2 linked regions of the Drosophila melanogaster genome follow. The protein of the gene in region 2 purifies or fractionates together with the protein of the main gene of each other region. This does not show direct contact. Each region holds a gene or a part of one and is shown on either strand. Other genes may lie near its edges.

Region 1 (8,185 bases), on a different chromosome or scaffold from region 2:
TGGTTTACGGTTTGATGTGTGAATTGTGCTAACATTTTCCAAACAATTATGCACAGATTTCCACGCTCATTTTCAAGGTTCAACTGTATTTTCAACTAAATTTAGTCAACACCACAACGGCCAACAAAGCAACAACAGTGGCAATAACAATTAAAAATGCGCCGGCATTGCATTTTATTCGGTTTAACAGTTGAGCGCTTTCAGTCAAAAACAAACACTTCCAAAAAAAATGGAAAATAGATGGTAAACTAGAGCGCTGTGATCCAATTTCAAGCCACGGCTTTCAGCTCCCAGCTGAGCTTAGTTGCTTAGTCAACTTTGCTGGGTGAGTAATCGCAAACTGAATTCTGCTTTACTTGCTTCACTTCTGTGTTTTTGGCTTTTTTCTTTGCTTGAGCAAGACCGCCAACCGAAAAGGCCAGACTGTAAGCGGCTTTTAGCGGGGAGAAGCGTTCAAGTGTCACTTGAAAGAGTCATTAACCCGGAATAATCTGTCGAGAGTGACTTAAGGAGTCGCCTCTGGACACGATGATGGACGGACGGGCGGATGGTACAGTTTTCAATTAAGACGATGACAAAAGGAAATTTAATTAAGTGCTGCGATTTGCGAATTGCAATGCCATCCATAAAGAGTTCTCTCAATGTCAGCGATCTGTAAACCCTTGAAAATCATGTCATCGCATTTTCCGTCCGTTCCATTCATAAAACAACACCGAATTCCGCTCGCCAAATGAAATCACAGCCCATCGCTTGGCACTTCGTATTCGGTGTGCCCCTAGGAGACCGATTCCCAGCGTCGAAAAAAAAAGGAGGAGGAGTATCTGAAAAAACCAGCTTTGAAATGAAATGCAAATGGGGAGCCCTAAAAAAGCGTTGCAATGTCGGAATGAAAAGCGGCTACATATGCCTGTTTATATGCAAATATCACATATCGTACATATGTGCGTAAACATTTGGCAATTACTCGGCACCGGTGCGGTGTCTTTGTTTCTTTTATTTTTTATTTTTTTTACTGCCTGGAGGCCGCTGTTTGTTCTATTTGCTGACATACAAATAAGTGTGCAAAAAGACATACATACATATATAGCCGAATGGCGGCGACCTTTCGTCTCGTTTTGCTTCTAGGGAATTTCAATTTAAATTCTGATTAAATTTCAGTGCGCTTCAATGCAAAAAGTCGTCTATATATTTTTTGCATCTGTATACATTTTATTGATTGTTGGTCTGAGCAGCCTCGCAGATTATGTCTCATTTTTCCCACTGACACTGGCACACTAAGCTGGCATTTGTTATGCAAATTTATTTTCGATTACTTGTTACCAAAGATTTTCCTGAGATTATGCAAATGTGCCGAAAGGAGGGCACCACATCTATCTGGCCCATAGATCTACATTATTGCTGCCTTACAAGTGGCTTATTACAGTTAGTGTTTGTCGGCTGTCAGGAAGTGGGATAAACGTTGCAAATATGACGAGAAAGGAAACTTTGCATATTCTCATGAACATTTTTGGCGGCATAAAAATGATATGAGTTGGAAAATCTACTTTCGCATTTGGAGACTGTTTATGTTTATCGCCAAATTGAATCCATTGATTTCGCATCATAGTCAATTTTATTCCGGCCATTTGCCCAACGTGTTTCATAACTTTGTTAGGGGTATTTGCATAATTGATTTTACTTCCTTCTCAAACGCTATTTACAATAATTAAACTTGACTGAATTGTCAGTGTGGAAACTTGCAAATTGATTATATTGATATTTATTAATGGGCCAAGACAGCGATGAATTAGGGCAACAAATATTTTATAATGGTCCCATTACATGTCGTTTCAACTCAAATATAAACTTTTAAATGCTTGGTATTGTAGGTAAATGGGAAATTAAATTGACAATTATTGTATCAGTATTTTAAGGGCAATTATAACACCCTTTTGCAATTCATTTTATGAATCCAGAAATAAATATATCTTTTTTATACCACATTCTTTGGCTTCTCACGCGCTGCTCATTTATTATGATGTTTTTCACATATCTGACACTTTTTGCAAATAAAATCAAACAGATAAATTAAATTTGCCACAGACTTTTGGCTGTCGTTTTGATTTTTTTTTACTTTTTTTTCGTGTCCATAAAGTTCGACTTTGATTGCATTCGTGGAGCCATGTCTCACGCCGGAAAATCGTACAAAAAAGGAAAATATATTTATTTGTATTTGAGCGAATACTTTTATTGGCGGTTACCTTTGGCTCGCTGTGTGGTCGTTTAATTGAATAATTATATACACACATACCCACGTATATGCCTATAATTTTTTTGCTACTCGGCTTATATTGATTCGCATAGATTGTAAATCAATTGCCATTACATGTGCATCCGCTGGCTGGAATGCAAATGTAACAAATGGCCAAAACGACGATGCGCCTTGACAAACTCAATAAAGGCCCACTTCCCACAGTTAAGAGTTGTCAAAGCTCGACAAATGGAAAAGTGATATAAAAAAAAACATGCAATGTATAAATAAATAATTGTGCAGTGGCTTGGCGTTAATTGCACTTTAAAAAGTCCCAAACAAGTGCCGAAATGGTAAATGCAATTTATTGCCGTCGGCAATCGGCAGCTAACGAGTGCTTCAAATTGAACACGGATGCACTAATTAGAATTTTTGGTCAAAACAATTAGCAATTTAAGCAGAATTATTTCAATTTAGCGAAAAAATGACCCGAAAAGTTTTATTTAATTTCCGCTAATAGAATTGGCAGCTGATGAATGCGAAATTTATTACTCATGCTCCAACAAAGACGGTGGGCAGTCATTGTTGATTGAGTTGTTGTGGACTAAGTTCATTTTTAATAAAATGCGAAAAGCGAGTTTCGTGTCGTTCATTCTGACTTGCAAGATCTTAAGAACCTCTTGCGCGGATCTACATACTCCTCATCGGCTTTATGGATTTCCTGGCAAAAATTTTAAAAGTGTTAGTCACTTGATTTCCAGTTTTGCGCAACTCATGTGAAATAATTAATATGAGCACACGCCTTGACCAACATTAATTTAATAATTTTTCATTAGTTAAACCATCATCTAAAAATTAGTCAGAGCTTAATGGGTTCCTTTTTTGGGCGCTTCTCTTTAAATGTAATCGTTTAACTTAGTGGGTGCATCGTAACCTTTCTGCTTTTAGTTGTTTAAAACTAATTTTTTTTTGCTGAGCAGGTCAAAGTTACCTAACGAGTCGAGTTTTGCGGTTTTAATTGTACCAAGTAACGCGGTCACCTCGATTATTGTTGTTGTTCTTGCGGCAACGCTCATTGTTGCGGTTTGTGTGTAAATTTTGGAAAGGTTAAGTGCCTGGTTGCAGTCAGCAAATTAAATAATTACAAACGGCTGTTAAAGAGCCAGAGTTATGAGCCCTTCGCAGAAGGACAGCTGATATGCAGAAGTACTCTAAATTTACAACCAGACCTTTTCTTTAAAAACCTACATATATTGCCAATAAATATTTATTTAATTGTTTAGTCAAATAAAGTATTAGATAAAGTAACATCCAAATATCACTTAAAAACCAAAAAAAAAATCACTTAAAGTGTAGTTCTTAAACATGGTTTCTCTGTGCTTTAACCTTAAGTCATTTGCTACATCTTTACACCGCCTCGACAAAAGTCGTCCGAAACTGAAAAGTTCAAAAAACGCGAGACAAAAGTCGCGGCAACAAAGGCAGCAGCAAAAGCAGAAGCATTCATTTGGAGATTCAACTTCGCCTGAGTTTGCATTTTAAAGCCGTTGCTGTTGACCTTGGGCTGCATAAATCGAATTGGAGCAGGTCGTTGACGAAGCTGGTGTTTTTACTGAATGGTTTTTTCTTTTGGGAATGCGAAGCCCTGCATTATCTGGGCATCCTTGAGCTGGTTGAGTGGGAAATCCCCTCAGCATCCACAGCAGCCCTTGGCATTTTAATGTGAAGGAGGCCAATGGCCTGCGGTTACCTGTGCTCCTTGAAGTTCTTAAATGGACCGCAGCTGCTTTTATTCCGGCGAGAAACCACGAATTGCAGGAACTGTGGCAACAGTCTGTTATTGATTTTCCTCGTAATTTGTATTTTCCCCCTTTATTTTTGTTGTTTTGTTATTTTTTGCTGACTAACTTTTGGCTTTGCGGCTGGCAAAAGTCAACAGAAACGTAAAGAACACGTTTGCTTTTAGTTAACCTGTTTTGGCAATGCCCAAAGATTGCGATTGAGCAAAGATTGAGCGGACACAGATACAGATACACCGAAACGTACACAGATACTACTGCCGACTAGACGAAGCGTGGTTGTTGTTTTCAATTTTTGTTTTACTTGCACAATTAGCCAACTGAAAAATTACCACACTGAGATGGATTTGAAAGCTGCACTGCACAATAATCGCCGCTAAAATTGGCTCATTCACAACGCTTGCAAGAAACTACGATCTGCAAAGTGCTCTGGTTTATGTCAACGCGAAAAATCCGCGCGCAAAGCCACACTAAAAGTATCTTAACACTCAGCTCAGGTTCTCGGCTTTGTTTGCTCAAGCGTTTCCGCGTTTTGCTTCTCGACTCGCCGACGACGTGAATTCAACTGATCAACTCAACAAAACCGACTTCGTAGCGCTGACAGATCGCCCAATTCGAAAATAGCATCGGCCTTATCGACAGCGGCGTCGGCAGCGACGTCTCTTGTTTATAGCCGCGTTTATGAAGCCGTCTAAACGACGCGTCTAAAAGATCAAAAATAGTAAGTGGAGTGCTTGGACTTCTGTGGCCGAAACTCTACCCACTTGACTAGCACAGGTGGGAACAGATCTGGGTCACGGTGGAAGTCTTTGCTAAGCTAAGCTTACAGCAGATCATTTTGGGAATTGAGCTTTGATCGTTCAATGCACAATGCGTCGTGGTTCATGTCCTTGCTATATTATAAATAAAAATTATATATTTTAGCTTTCTCTTTTTGATATACAAAAAATCAACAATTCTTTTTTAAAAAAATATTTATTTTGTATTTAGTAAGTTTAATAACTTAAATAACAATTTCACTTGTGCAACTAGCCTGCTGAAAGGACTTGCCCATACGAAAACTTAATAAAAGATTATCATGTATGGTGCATTGTGCCGTAACAAAAACACACAAGGCCCGAGCGATAATAGCAGCAACAATGCCGTCGGCCAAATGCGACCTCCGACCTCAGAGTTGGCTTATGTTCGTTGGGCACGCAAATCGGTTATTAGCTATAATGCAAACGTATTTTAGACACACACATTTATATCGCTTATTTTCGATGGTGCATTATTGCGGTTGTCTGATTGAAACGCCAGATCCCACACGCGGCCTTTTTGTTCGGGCCTGGACTCAAAGATAAGCGGCCCTCGGGACCTAAATAACTGGAACAACAAAAAATAAACGGACAAACGGACGGCAAACAAACTGTCTATTAGTTATTGTTGTTTGATTTGCAAAGCGTTTGTCATTTGTTAAATAAATTGATGGCCATTGCGGACCACTCGGCAAATAGCAAGTAAATACGAAAAGGGACACAAGTGGCTGAAATAACCGGAAAAGCTAATATTGAGCTTATGATTTAAGGCAGGCCAGAAAATGGCACTGGAATCCACAGCCCAGCCACCATTGTTCACAGTTTCGATGAAACTTTAAACTGGGGGGACTGTCAGAAGGCCTCAAAAGCAGCGGCAGTTAAGCATGACAAAACGCCGGGGCATCTCGGGAGGACACCCCTCTATTATCCTTCCAAAATCATCAGCTGTCAGTGCAGTGAGTTGAGACTTCAGCCACCAAAAAACGAGTCTGCAGTGTCACTGAGCGAGAAAGGAGCCCGCCAGAGAGCACAAGAAACTGAAATGACATTGACATTTTGAATAATGACGCAACACTATTTAAGTGGGAACTGCACGTCTAAAAATTGAATGAAGCCGAAAAATTATAATTAAATGCTTACAAAAATTTTTGGTAATGTAGAAGATTCTTTTCGACAACCCAAAATTGATATTCTTTAATTTGTAAAAGTATTGCAGGACATATTACATTTAAGTTAAATAATCAGTTAATTTTTAGACGTGTATTGACAGCTTTCCCAGGGCACAGGCACCCAACGGAGTTTGGAATTGGACTTGCCCATGGGGAGACGCTCGCCGGACTGCTGGCAGAGATTAGCTGCAAGTTTTGAAGGATGTTCCGGTGCCGTCTTACGCCGAGGATCCATCTGGAATCCCGGCAGCTGCTCTTTCTCCGGCCAATCGCGAATTGGCTAAAGTTGTCTTGGGTTCGTGCCCAACGAGCGGGCATGGCTCCTAATGAACAGTGTCTAGTGCACATCGCTGGGGGAAAGAATGTCATTAGAGCCACCATCCCGGGAACACCTCTTAAATGGCCAAATGCCGTAGCTAAACCCCAGCGAAGACGATGCCAAGTGGCCATAATCACAGAGGTGCAATTTGCAGCGGGCAAAAGAAAGAATAAATTCGCGCACAAAGTGCCAAGTTAAAAGCACAAACAAAACAGCAATAAGGATACGAATAAGAATAAGCAGCAAAGGAGAAATAGTTGGAAAAACTAAAATTAAACTGGCTCCGCGACTGCAGGCAGCGGCACTGTTTAATATAATTTTCATTTTATACTTTTTGTAGCCCAACCAACATTTAGCTTTAAGTTGGCCGAGTGTTGAAAAAACAACTTGAGATTGTAATTAGTTTTTGTTGCTCCTGGGTTTAACTGGAGGGAAACTTTCAAATTGAACCAAAGACGGCGGCAAAGGGATGGAATATTTTGCGGTTCCAACTTTTACTCACTGGTCTTACCAAATTGCAAATATGTCTGCGAAAAATCTCATTAAGTATACGAAATGTGGTACGCGCCATGTCGCCGAGGGAGCGGGCATAAAAATGCAATAAGAAAAACCAAGAGCGAAACGAAAATGAGAGAAGGAAAGTAAATAAAAATTATGAATGTCGTTTGCCCAGATTTAAGAGAGAGAAAGGAAAGGAAAAGCGAAAAGTGAAAAGGAAAAACCATAGAAAAGCGAGTTGCAAATGACTTAAGGTCCATTTTCCCTCTCGCTCTGGCAACAGGTAACACTGCCTAGATGCTACTAGAAAACTCGGCCACAGACTGGGTCAAGTTTGAGTGGAGTTGGCAGTCCCTTTCCAACCACAAAGTTCTTTGGGCTCATCTAACGAGCAGTTTGAGCCCTTGTCTAGGTCATTTGGCCAGCAATGACCCTTATAATGCGCTTAATTTGCGTATGATGAGTTTTTGCACAACATTTGCCGAATTCTTCATAATCAAAAACGCAATCATGTTTGTGATCTGTAGGGAACACAAATACATAAATTTGCTTTATTACTCTTTTTTTGGAAGAATTTTTTTTACCTAAAAACCTTTAGCGAAACCTTAAAGCCAACGTAAATGAAAACCTTTGCTTCTTGACACGGAAAGTCTCACCTTGCCGCGCCACATTCAATTTCAACGCCCACGCGGGCGTCATAATTACAAACTGGCCACATAATTAAACAAACTGGCTCAATTAAAATGGCACAGCCCCGCCACATCCAGAAATGGAAAGCGAAAGCGAAAAGCACAACAACCGCGAAAAAAATGGCTGCGGAATTATTTCATTTGCAAAAGTCGCTTTCATTAGACGATTTGCTGGTTGCAGACGTCGACGCTCAAAGTCAAAAACGTTTTAACCTTTTAAGCGCCACAGTAATACGACCAAAGCTGCCGTTTCGGGTAGTTTAAGGAGTAGCAAAGGGATGCTGAGCGGTGGGTGCTGGTCGCGCAGAAATAGGGCGCAGGATGCCAAGGACACGATGCGGATGCTGACTCTGATGGGCCCTGGCAACACATTGAGGTTACGCGAAGCGAATGGAGACAGCCAGACAGCAGTATCAAGCTCAGATTCAAGCCAAGTCGAGCTGTGACAGGGTCTGACTGTGATATTGGGTTTAGCGCAATGCCGCACACTCCGATGTAGTGTAGAGAAACATAAACTACAAAATATATAAGTGCACTTTATCATAAACCTCTGTCATTCGATATTTTAAAGAAAATTTTTCTAGTATTACGAAACAATAAGAATAAGAAATTAACAAGCTTCGTAGCTATTTTCAAGCTTTGAATAGTTTTCCTCTCAACAAAGAAATTTGAGGAATTTCTGTA
Region 2 (8,013 bases):
ACATCATCACCATCGTGAATAACAGTCAGCAAATGGTTGAACTGGCGCAGCAGATGAAACAACTCTACTGGCCCAAGTCACGTACTGAGCATTATGAGGATTTCGAACGTTTGCTTGCCACATTCCAGCGGATCCGGGCTCATGCCGCAAGTTACTTGCTGGAGGAAGCCTTCCTGGACATGGAGTGTCACTTTAACGACCTATTCACTGCCAAGTGGCTGGCCAGTAACATTGCCGTGGACACCATTTGTGTAACGCTGGACGATTACTTCCAGGACTATAATCACCTGCGACCCAATAACTTCGAGATGGTCATCAACGAGGCCCAGAAGCTGCTGGCCAAGCGCTACATTAGGGCACTGCTATCCAAGCGACTGTCTAAGCCACGGGCCGAGTGCGATGCCATTACGCGAAAAATCAAGACCGAAGCCAAGCGGTTTAAGCTCTTCTTTGAGAAAATCGCGCCGAAGATTTCCCTCAGCGACTCTCCATTGGATCTTATATCCACGCTATCGGCACTGCTTAGCTCGGATATCGAACTGCTCGTCTTGGACCTGCACACCTTGCTGGGCAGCTATCCGTCTCTGAACGAGGACCACCTGGTACGGCTCTTTTACATTCGCAACGATGTGAAGGCGGCCGAGGTGCGCGAGAAGGTGCAGGATGCCATGAAGTCGAAGAAGGCAATGGTCAGCATCGCCAAGCAGGATTGCATCTTCAAGGAGATCGTGTTCAGCGACAAACTGTGGTAGACCTTGGAGTATAGTTCCCAACCCATTCCGCATGTCCCTTTCTGTTCAGTATCGTATTTACTCTTAAGCTGCGATTGTAATATTATTGTGCTTTATCAACAAATAAATTATTGTATAAATAATCGAAGAAGTTCTAAGGAAAGTAAGAATATCCATCGTTTCAATGCATATATGTATCGTTACTTTTGAAGGGTTCCGTTTTCTAGCCGTTTAATAGCTAGAGCTCCATCACTGTCGGCGAATGTAGTGTTGTAACGGTCGAAATATTTAATTACCGGCTAGGCGATAACATCTGGCAGGAGTATATATATTCGCGACGGTCTCTCTCCACGTGTCAGTCAGTTCCCAACGATCCTCCTACCCAGACAAGATGAGCTACAGAGTCCAGCCGAGCGGCTTCGCCACCAAGTCCATCCACTCGGGCCAGAGCCCCGACCAGTGGAAGAGTGCTGCCGTGATTCCGCCGATATCGCTGAGCACCACCTTCAAGCAAGATGCACCGGGCGAGCACAGGGGCTATGAGTACTCCCGCAGTGGAAATCCCACTAGGAACGTGCTGGAGACGTGCTTCGCCGCCTTGGATAATGCCAAATACGGCCTCACGTTCTCATCGGGATTGGGAGCCACCACCGCTGTGCTAACTATGCTGAGCAGCGGCGATCACATCATCATGGGCGACGATGTTTACGGAGGCACCAACCGTTTGATCCGACAGGTTGCCACCCGTCTGGGAATCTCAGCCACCTTTGTGGATCCCACGAAGTTGGATCTAATTAAAAGTTCCATCAAGCCGGAGACCAAGTTGGTGTGGATCGAGTCACCAACTAATCCATTGGTAAAGGTAGCCGACATCGAGGCTATTGCGCAGCTGGTCCATGGAGTACGCGAGGATATCGTCCTGGCCGTCGACAACACCTTCCTGACCTCCTACTTCCAGCGACCCTTGGAGCTGGGCGCTGATCTGGTCTGCTACTCCCTGACCAAGTACATGAACGGTCATACGGATGTGGTCATGGGTGGCATCACCATGAACTCGGAGAAGCTCTACAAAAGCTTGAAGTTCCTGCAGAACGCAGTGGGCATTGTGCCGTCTCCATTCGACTGCTATCAGGTGAACAGAAGTCTTAAGACGCTCTCGCTGCGCATGGAACAGCACCAGAAGAATGCTCTGAAGGTTGCCAAATACCTGGAGACGAATCCGTTCGTGGAGAAGGTGTTGCATCCCTCTTTGCCCTCCCATCCGCAGCACAAGATCGCTCTGAAGCAGGCATACGGATACAGCGGCGTGTTCTCCTTCTACATTAAGGGCGAGCTGAAGCACTCCTCGGCTTTCCTCAAGGCCCTCAAGGTGTTCACCCTGGCAGAGAGTCTGGGTGGCTACGAGAGTCTGGCCGAGCTTCCATCAATAATGACCCATGCCTCGGTTCCAGCGGAGGATAGGAAAACTTTGGGCATCACTGACGGTCTAGTTCGCTTGTCCGTCGGACTGGAGGATGCCGATGATTTGATCAAGGATCTGGAGCAGGCCCTTGAAATTGCATCGAAGGCCTAAGTTACTCGCATCACATGTATTTTTTTTATTTTTCGCAGGAATTTGTTTAACCGAAAGCTTATGAATTTGTATATTAATCACCCCAATAAAAGTGTTTTGTCTCAAATGAAAGATATTTATAAACACTTGCTTATAAACATACGTTTGTAAACATATAGACTTTCTGGATAGATCGAATAGATATTACAGATTGTGGCGAACTGATAAGATGTGGTAAATAAAGCTTTGTGTTATTGCTGGTTTTTTTTTCACAATTATTGTTGATATAGTGATCAGATACTGAAAATTGTTGATGTCTTGATAGGTTTATATACGATCGCAGCTGCATTACCTCCACGACCCCCCATAGAAACAGCCTTGGGAGACCCAAATATACCCATTGTCATGTCGATTACCATACGCAAACAATGAATCAGCATGTTTAAATTCGCACCATCATTTAATCATTCTAAGTCGCGATAGAAGAAAATTATATCTCTTGAACGGATGTTCCGATTTGTTTTTACAAAAGTTCGTTTGCCTTTTAGATTAGAGCAGAGTTTAGTTAAATCATGCATTATTTAAGTAACGAACAAAAAAAATCAAGTTAGGAGTTCTTATCAGTGCTGCTCTTATCAGTATCATTACATTCATATGGTATTTCATATGCTTTCTTTCGAACCTTATTGCAAGTTCATAAATATGGTCTGATTTCGATTGTGTTGCTTTATTTCGTTTGAAAATTGTATAAAACATAATGATGAGAATATTGTGTTTATTTTAACAATTCCCGTTACTTGTCTGACAGAATGTAGTTGATTAAACTTAAGCTTTAACATTATATGTACGATATCCAAAACCATACTATTTGAAAGATACATACTATTGTGAAGTGTGCATAGCATTAAATGTACAACGAGAGCCATATCATCATAATAAGCAACTGCGACTTTCCAACATTCATAATTTTGCCTTCTATATATACTTAAAAAATGCATTTCAATTGCTTAAAATAACCAGTAGTTCGTGTGCAATGCTTGTCCTTAGTACTTGTAACGATAAATAGCGACGCCAGCCACTCCAATTAATATCGTACCCATTAGATAGCCAAGCAGCTTCAGCTGAATGACAAAATGAGAATTAACACTCGGTTTTTTTTTATAAACTCATTAGCTATCTCACCTTGGAATTGTCGACAAGCGGCTGCTTTTGCCTGGTGGCAGTATTCTGCTCCATTTTTTTGGCCTGGCCCAGCATCTTTTGATACATCTCCTTTTCGTTGTGCTCCTCACGACGAGCCTTGATGAAAAGTCTGGCCAAATCCGATTGAACGGCTCGATTTTCGGGTTCGAGAGTAGCCACTTTTTGCAGTAGCTTAATAGCACCCTGGGTGTCCGCTTTGCCCTCCAATATCTGCCGGGTAATTTAAGTATTTTGTGAATGAAAATCGATGGTTCTGAGCCAACAACTTACTCTTCCTTTGCGATACAAGGCTTTGGAGTTATTTGGCTGGCACCGCAGCACATGCTCCACGGACTGCAGAGCTGCGTCATAAGCGGCAATCTTGATTTGAGTCATTGCCAAGTTATTGTAAACGATCAACCGATCCTCTAGCAGGGTCTGCGTGTCACTGTTCGAGAGCTCCAAGTCTTCCTTGTCGAACTCGGAGTCCGGATCCCCATCACGATTGTCCAGAAAGTCGAGGGCACGTCTGTACAGGTGAATGGCGGTTGTGAACTCCGAGCGTTTGTAAAAGAAATTGGCACGTTCTTTCTTGCGCGTACTGAAAAGATGAATTATTTTTTAAGAACCGACTAGCAAAGCAAAGAATATAACATACCCATATTTGCGCAGTATTTCAAAGCTCTTAAGGTCCGCAAATTCTTCGTATTTGATATCCAGAAGCTCTATTTCGTAGGTAAGCTGGAAAATTGATATATGTGAAGAGTTCTTATGACAATTTGAATATAAACTTACGTGCGCATCGGGTGGTACCAGGTACTCGGATTCACCCTCTTTTTTCAGTCCTAGGGAGCCGTAGCCGAAGCGGGAATCCACGCTGACTTGGGACACTTCGCCGACCTGCAGCATGGGCAACACCATATCTAATCCTTGGATAACCTCGTAGTCTCCCACGTGACACTGGAAGTTCAACTCGTTCTCGACCACCGTGCCGTTGTCCAGTTTTCCAGTGAAGTTCACGGTGACCAATTCGCCGCGAATCGGACGCCTAAACGAGTCTTGCGGTGCCTTTTTGATGGTGCGCTTAATCAGCTGCTTGTTACCCAGTATATCACATTCCTCCTCTGCATCCTCCTCCTCCGCCTTCTGTCCGTCTCCAGAAACGGATGCCGGGGGTGCGCCATCTCCGGAGGCTGCCTCCTCCGCTGCCACCTTGCGAATGTCTTTGGTGTCCTCGGCGTTGGTCAGGTCCTCGAAGGAGCTGCTGCTAGACTTCTCCGTATCCATAATTACCTATGCTTGGCGAGGCGAAAGTATGTAAATCAGTGGAACTCGGAACAAAGGGCAAAGGCAAAGTGGGAGGGTTGGTCGAGTTTGCTGGTTTCAGAACGGCACACCTAATCTCAACTTACAGCAGTATCTGATTGTGATATCGGATTTTGGTAAAAAAAAAATGATTTAATTTGATTTCAAAAGCAAAATGCGACAAGAAAGTTACTGGGAAACGAAAAATAATTTTACGGACTTCTGCCAGCTAGCCAGTGTGACCAAGTTGCAGTGTGCCCGTTTGCCGAAAATTCCGCTAAGCCGCACTGGTAGTGACTCAAGTAAAAATTTTATCACATTAGTTTATTATTTAAACAGCTTATCTTTAGAAAATATTTATTAGCTACAAATATCCTTTGCTTTATTTTTTTGAATTTCAGTTACTCATAGCACAACTTAAGTTTGAAATCTAAGGCAAACTTACTAATTTTTTTTTGGAAATAAAAATATACATTTAAAAAAAAAAGCAAACGTTAGTTTTTAGTTTAATAAAACTGTTTTAAACACTAAATTAGAAAATACATACTTGCAGACTCCAATATTTCTTAAATTGCATTCGGCCTAATGTAAATTTTAAAATTAGCTGTTTATCGTGTTTTAACGATTTGTCCTTTAAAATGCGAGCGCATTACACACCCTTTCCCAGTAATAAGATCGTTTAAATAGATTTTTTCAATGTATAGATTTATTCGTTAATGTTTCTTCTCTAATGCGTTCATTTCAATTGTTTGCGTTGATTGTAAAAAATAAAACAATAATCGTAATAAACGTTAAAACAAGTTGTACTGCCTAGATACGTAGTGCCAGAGTAAAGACCGCGTTTCATTCAATTGCTTCGTCACTGTCATATAGAAAATGCGTTGTGGAAAATGAAAAGCGAAACATTCACGTTCAATTTCAAATGATATATGTAGTCTTAGTTTTGTACAATCCATCCGAAGGTAAGGTAAGAATTTTGACTTAGGGTTTGGTTAGCCCTCGCAATTGTTTGGTTTCGACTAGCCCAAACTGGCTAAACTAAATTAATTTTGTTTTACTGTTCGTTAATCGTTTAAAACTATTATATAAAGTTTAGTTCAGATTTGTGGTTAACTCCTTTCGGGACAACGCAGAGGGGTCTGGGCCTGGTGGAACACGGCTGCATAGTGTTGCTGCATTCTACTTCTTGTCGGCACCCGCATTGGACTGCGTGGAGTACGAATATTGAGACCAGTAATGATTGGCGGCACCGCCATCATTATTGCCAGCGCCGCCGCCGACATTTACGCCTGATCCGCCACTGGCATTCCCAGCCGCTGCTCCGCCAGAGCCCTGCTGCTGCTGCTGTTAAAGAAACAATATCTTTAGTATTCTCGCTTCCAATGACTTTCATAAGACTCCTCCTGCTTACCTGCCACCAGGACATCCACTGTTGTTGCTGCTGCGGATCGGCACTCTGCCAGGCCTGTTGGTTGCCATAACCTGCTGGGAGAATCAACATAACTCGTATAGTCTTCGCCCTTAAGCAGTCGAACACTGCGTCACTTACTCTGCATTTGGTTATAGGCCCAGTATTGTTGCTGGCCCGCCGCTGCTTGCTGAGGTTGTTGGTATTGTTGTGACTGCTGCTGAGTCTGCCAGATGCCCGTTTGTTGATGCTGCGGCGCCTGCTGTTGCTGATGGTGTTGACTGTACGTACTCCACTTGCCGCTAAGGGAGGCCTACAGGAACGATCGAGATCTTAGCCAGCTGTCATGCGTCGAGGATTTGGTCGCACACTTACCTTGCCTCCGCCAGGTGCTCCACCTTGTTGCTTGTACTGATCGTAGCCACCGCCTACAGCGGTGTTATTGCCATACTTGGGTAGCGATTGACCAGCTGACCGCTCATAGCCACCGCGACTATCTTCTTTGGTGTCGCGGTGGCCAGGCCGAAAATCCCGTTGTTGATGAGTACCACCTCCCGAGCGATAGCTACTCTGGCTGCTGCCCCGGTTCCGGTCGTTACTGCCCATTCGACTGCGGTCGTTGCCACGGTCTCGATCGCGATAGTCCCGCGAGCTGCCGTAGCCGCGGTCGTCATACCCACTTCTGCGGTTGTTCTGCATCCAGTTTTGCTGACCACCACCACCACCACCACCACCGCCGCCGCCGCCACCACCACCGCTGCCGCCTGCGTATCCACGGTTGCGATTGTCGTATCCACGACTGCCGCTTCCACCGCCACCATAGCCGCGATCATCGTACCCGCTTCTGCGGCTGTTCTGCACCCAATTTTGCTGGCCACCGCTACCGCTGTTGTAGTTGCGGCGATTGTCGTAGCCACGACTGCCGCCTCCACCACTATTGCTGGAGTAACCGCCACCGCCGCCTCCCCTGCGGGAGTCGCTCCAACGACTTTCGTGCCGCTGGCCGCCATAATCACGACGTCGGTCATCATTGTATCGATTCCGGTTCCGGTCATCACGACGATAGTTGTCGCGACTTCCTCGGGATCTCTTGTCACGCGACCTCTCCGCGTCAATGGCCTTTTTGCCCTTCTCGTTGTACTTCTTGACCTCGCTCTTGGCCTCGTCACCAGTCAGCTCCGTGTAGTTTATATCATCGAACCAGCCAAACTCCAGCGAGGGAAGTGTGAAGTTGGCTGGAAAAAGATTGCGTGTACATCATCAATAAGGCTGCACAATTGCTAAAATCGCTCATTATCATTACAGATTAGGAATTATTGTAGATGGAGTATAGAGGGAAAGAAGGGATCAACTTTGGCAACCGAACGTAAAAGGGCGCAAAAATTTCGATTTTCAAGAAATCCAGTTGTGAATAAAGTCCATCCTTTATACGTTCCAGTTGCCAAGTGGGGGTTGTTATAGAATAAATGTTAATGAATAATGGTAATAATAATAATCAAATTATGAGATATTTTGAAGGGCTTACAGTTACAATTACGTATAGATACATAAAGTGCAGCTGCTTACAAACTAAATACGTTACATAAGTTTTTATAATGTTTTTCATTTTAACAAGAATGCCTCCTTATTTAGATAGGTAGAATAATAAGTTATACGATCGTACATTATTCTGGATTTTTTTTTTCAATTCGTTGCTTTGGTGTGGTGGATAATATTTACCTCGTAAATTATTAATTGTTGATTCTTTAACTGTAAAAGCATTTCCCTTTTCCTCTTTTTCGGCGATGCGACGTTTCAATTCATCTTCGCTGGGTATGCAAACGACCGCAATTCGC

Evidence for each region. Proteins that work in one complex are often made in the same cells at the same time.
Region 1: the proteins of zda (region 2) and osy purify together in Drosophila melanogaster (affinity purification with mass spectrometry, with the first as the bait; one large-scale study listed by BioGRID). This does not show direct contact.

What each region holds. Positions count from the first base shown.
Region 1 is NT_033777.3:26,314,769-26,322,953, reverse strand, and holds the start of osy (oskyddad), read right to left. Parts: upstream 4,600-8,185; 5' UTR 3,981-4,599; intron 1-3,980.
Region 2 is NT_033778.4:18,626,873-18,634,885, forward strand, and holds zda (zonda), read right to left. Parts: upstream 5,031-8,013; 5' UTR 4,878-5,030; intron 4,764-4,877; exon of another isoform or gene 4,759-4,763; 5' UTR 4,753-4,758; coding exon 4,261-4,752; intron 4,207-4,260; coding exon 4,124-4,206; intron 4,067-4,123; coding exon 3,757-4,066; intron 3,697-3,756; coding exon 3,466-3,696; intron 3,405-3,465; coding exon 3,327-3,404; 3' UTR 2,722-3,326; downstream 1-2,721. Other genes in the region: Sec6 (secretory 6), read left to right, coding at 1-752; Cth (cystathionine gamma-lyase), read left to right, coding at 1,123-2,304; CG30122 (uncharacterized protein), read right to left, coding at 5,950-6,114, 6,182-6,255, 6,320-6,491, 6,554-7,413, 7,898-8,013.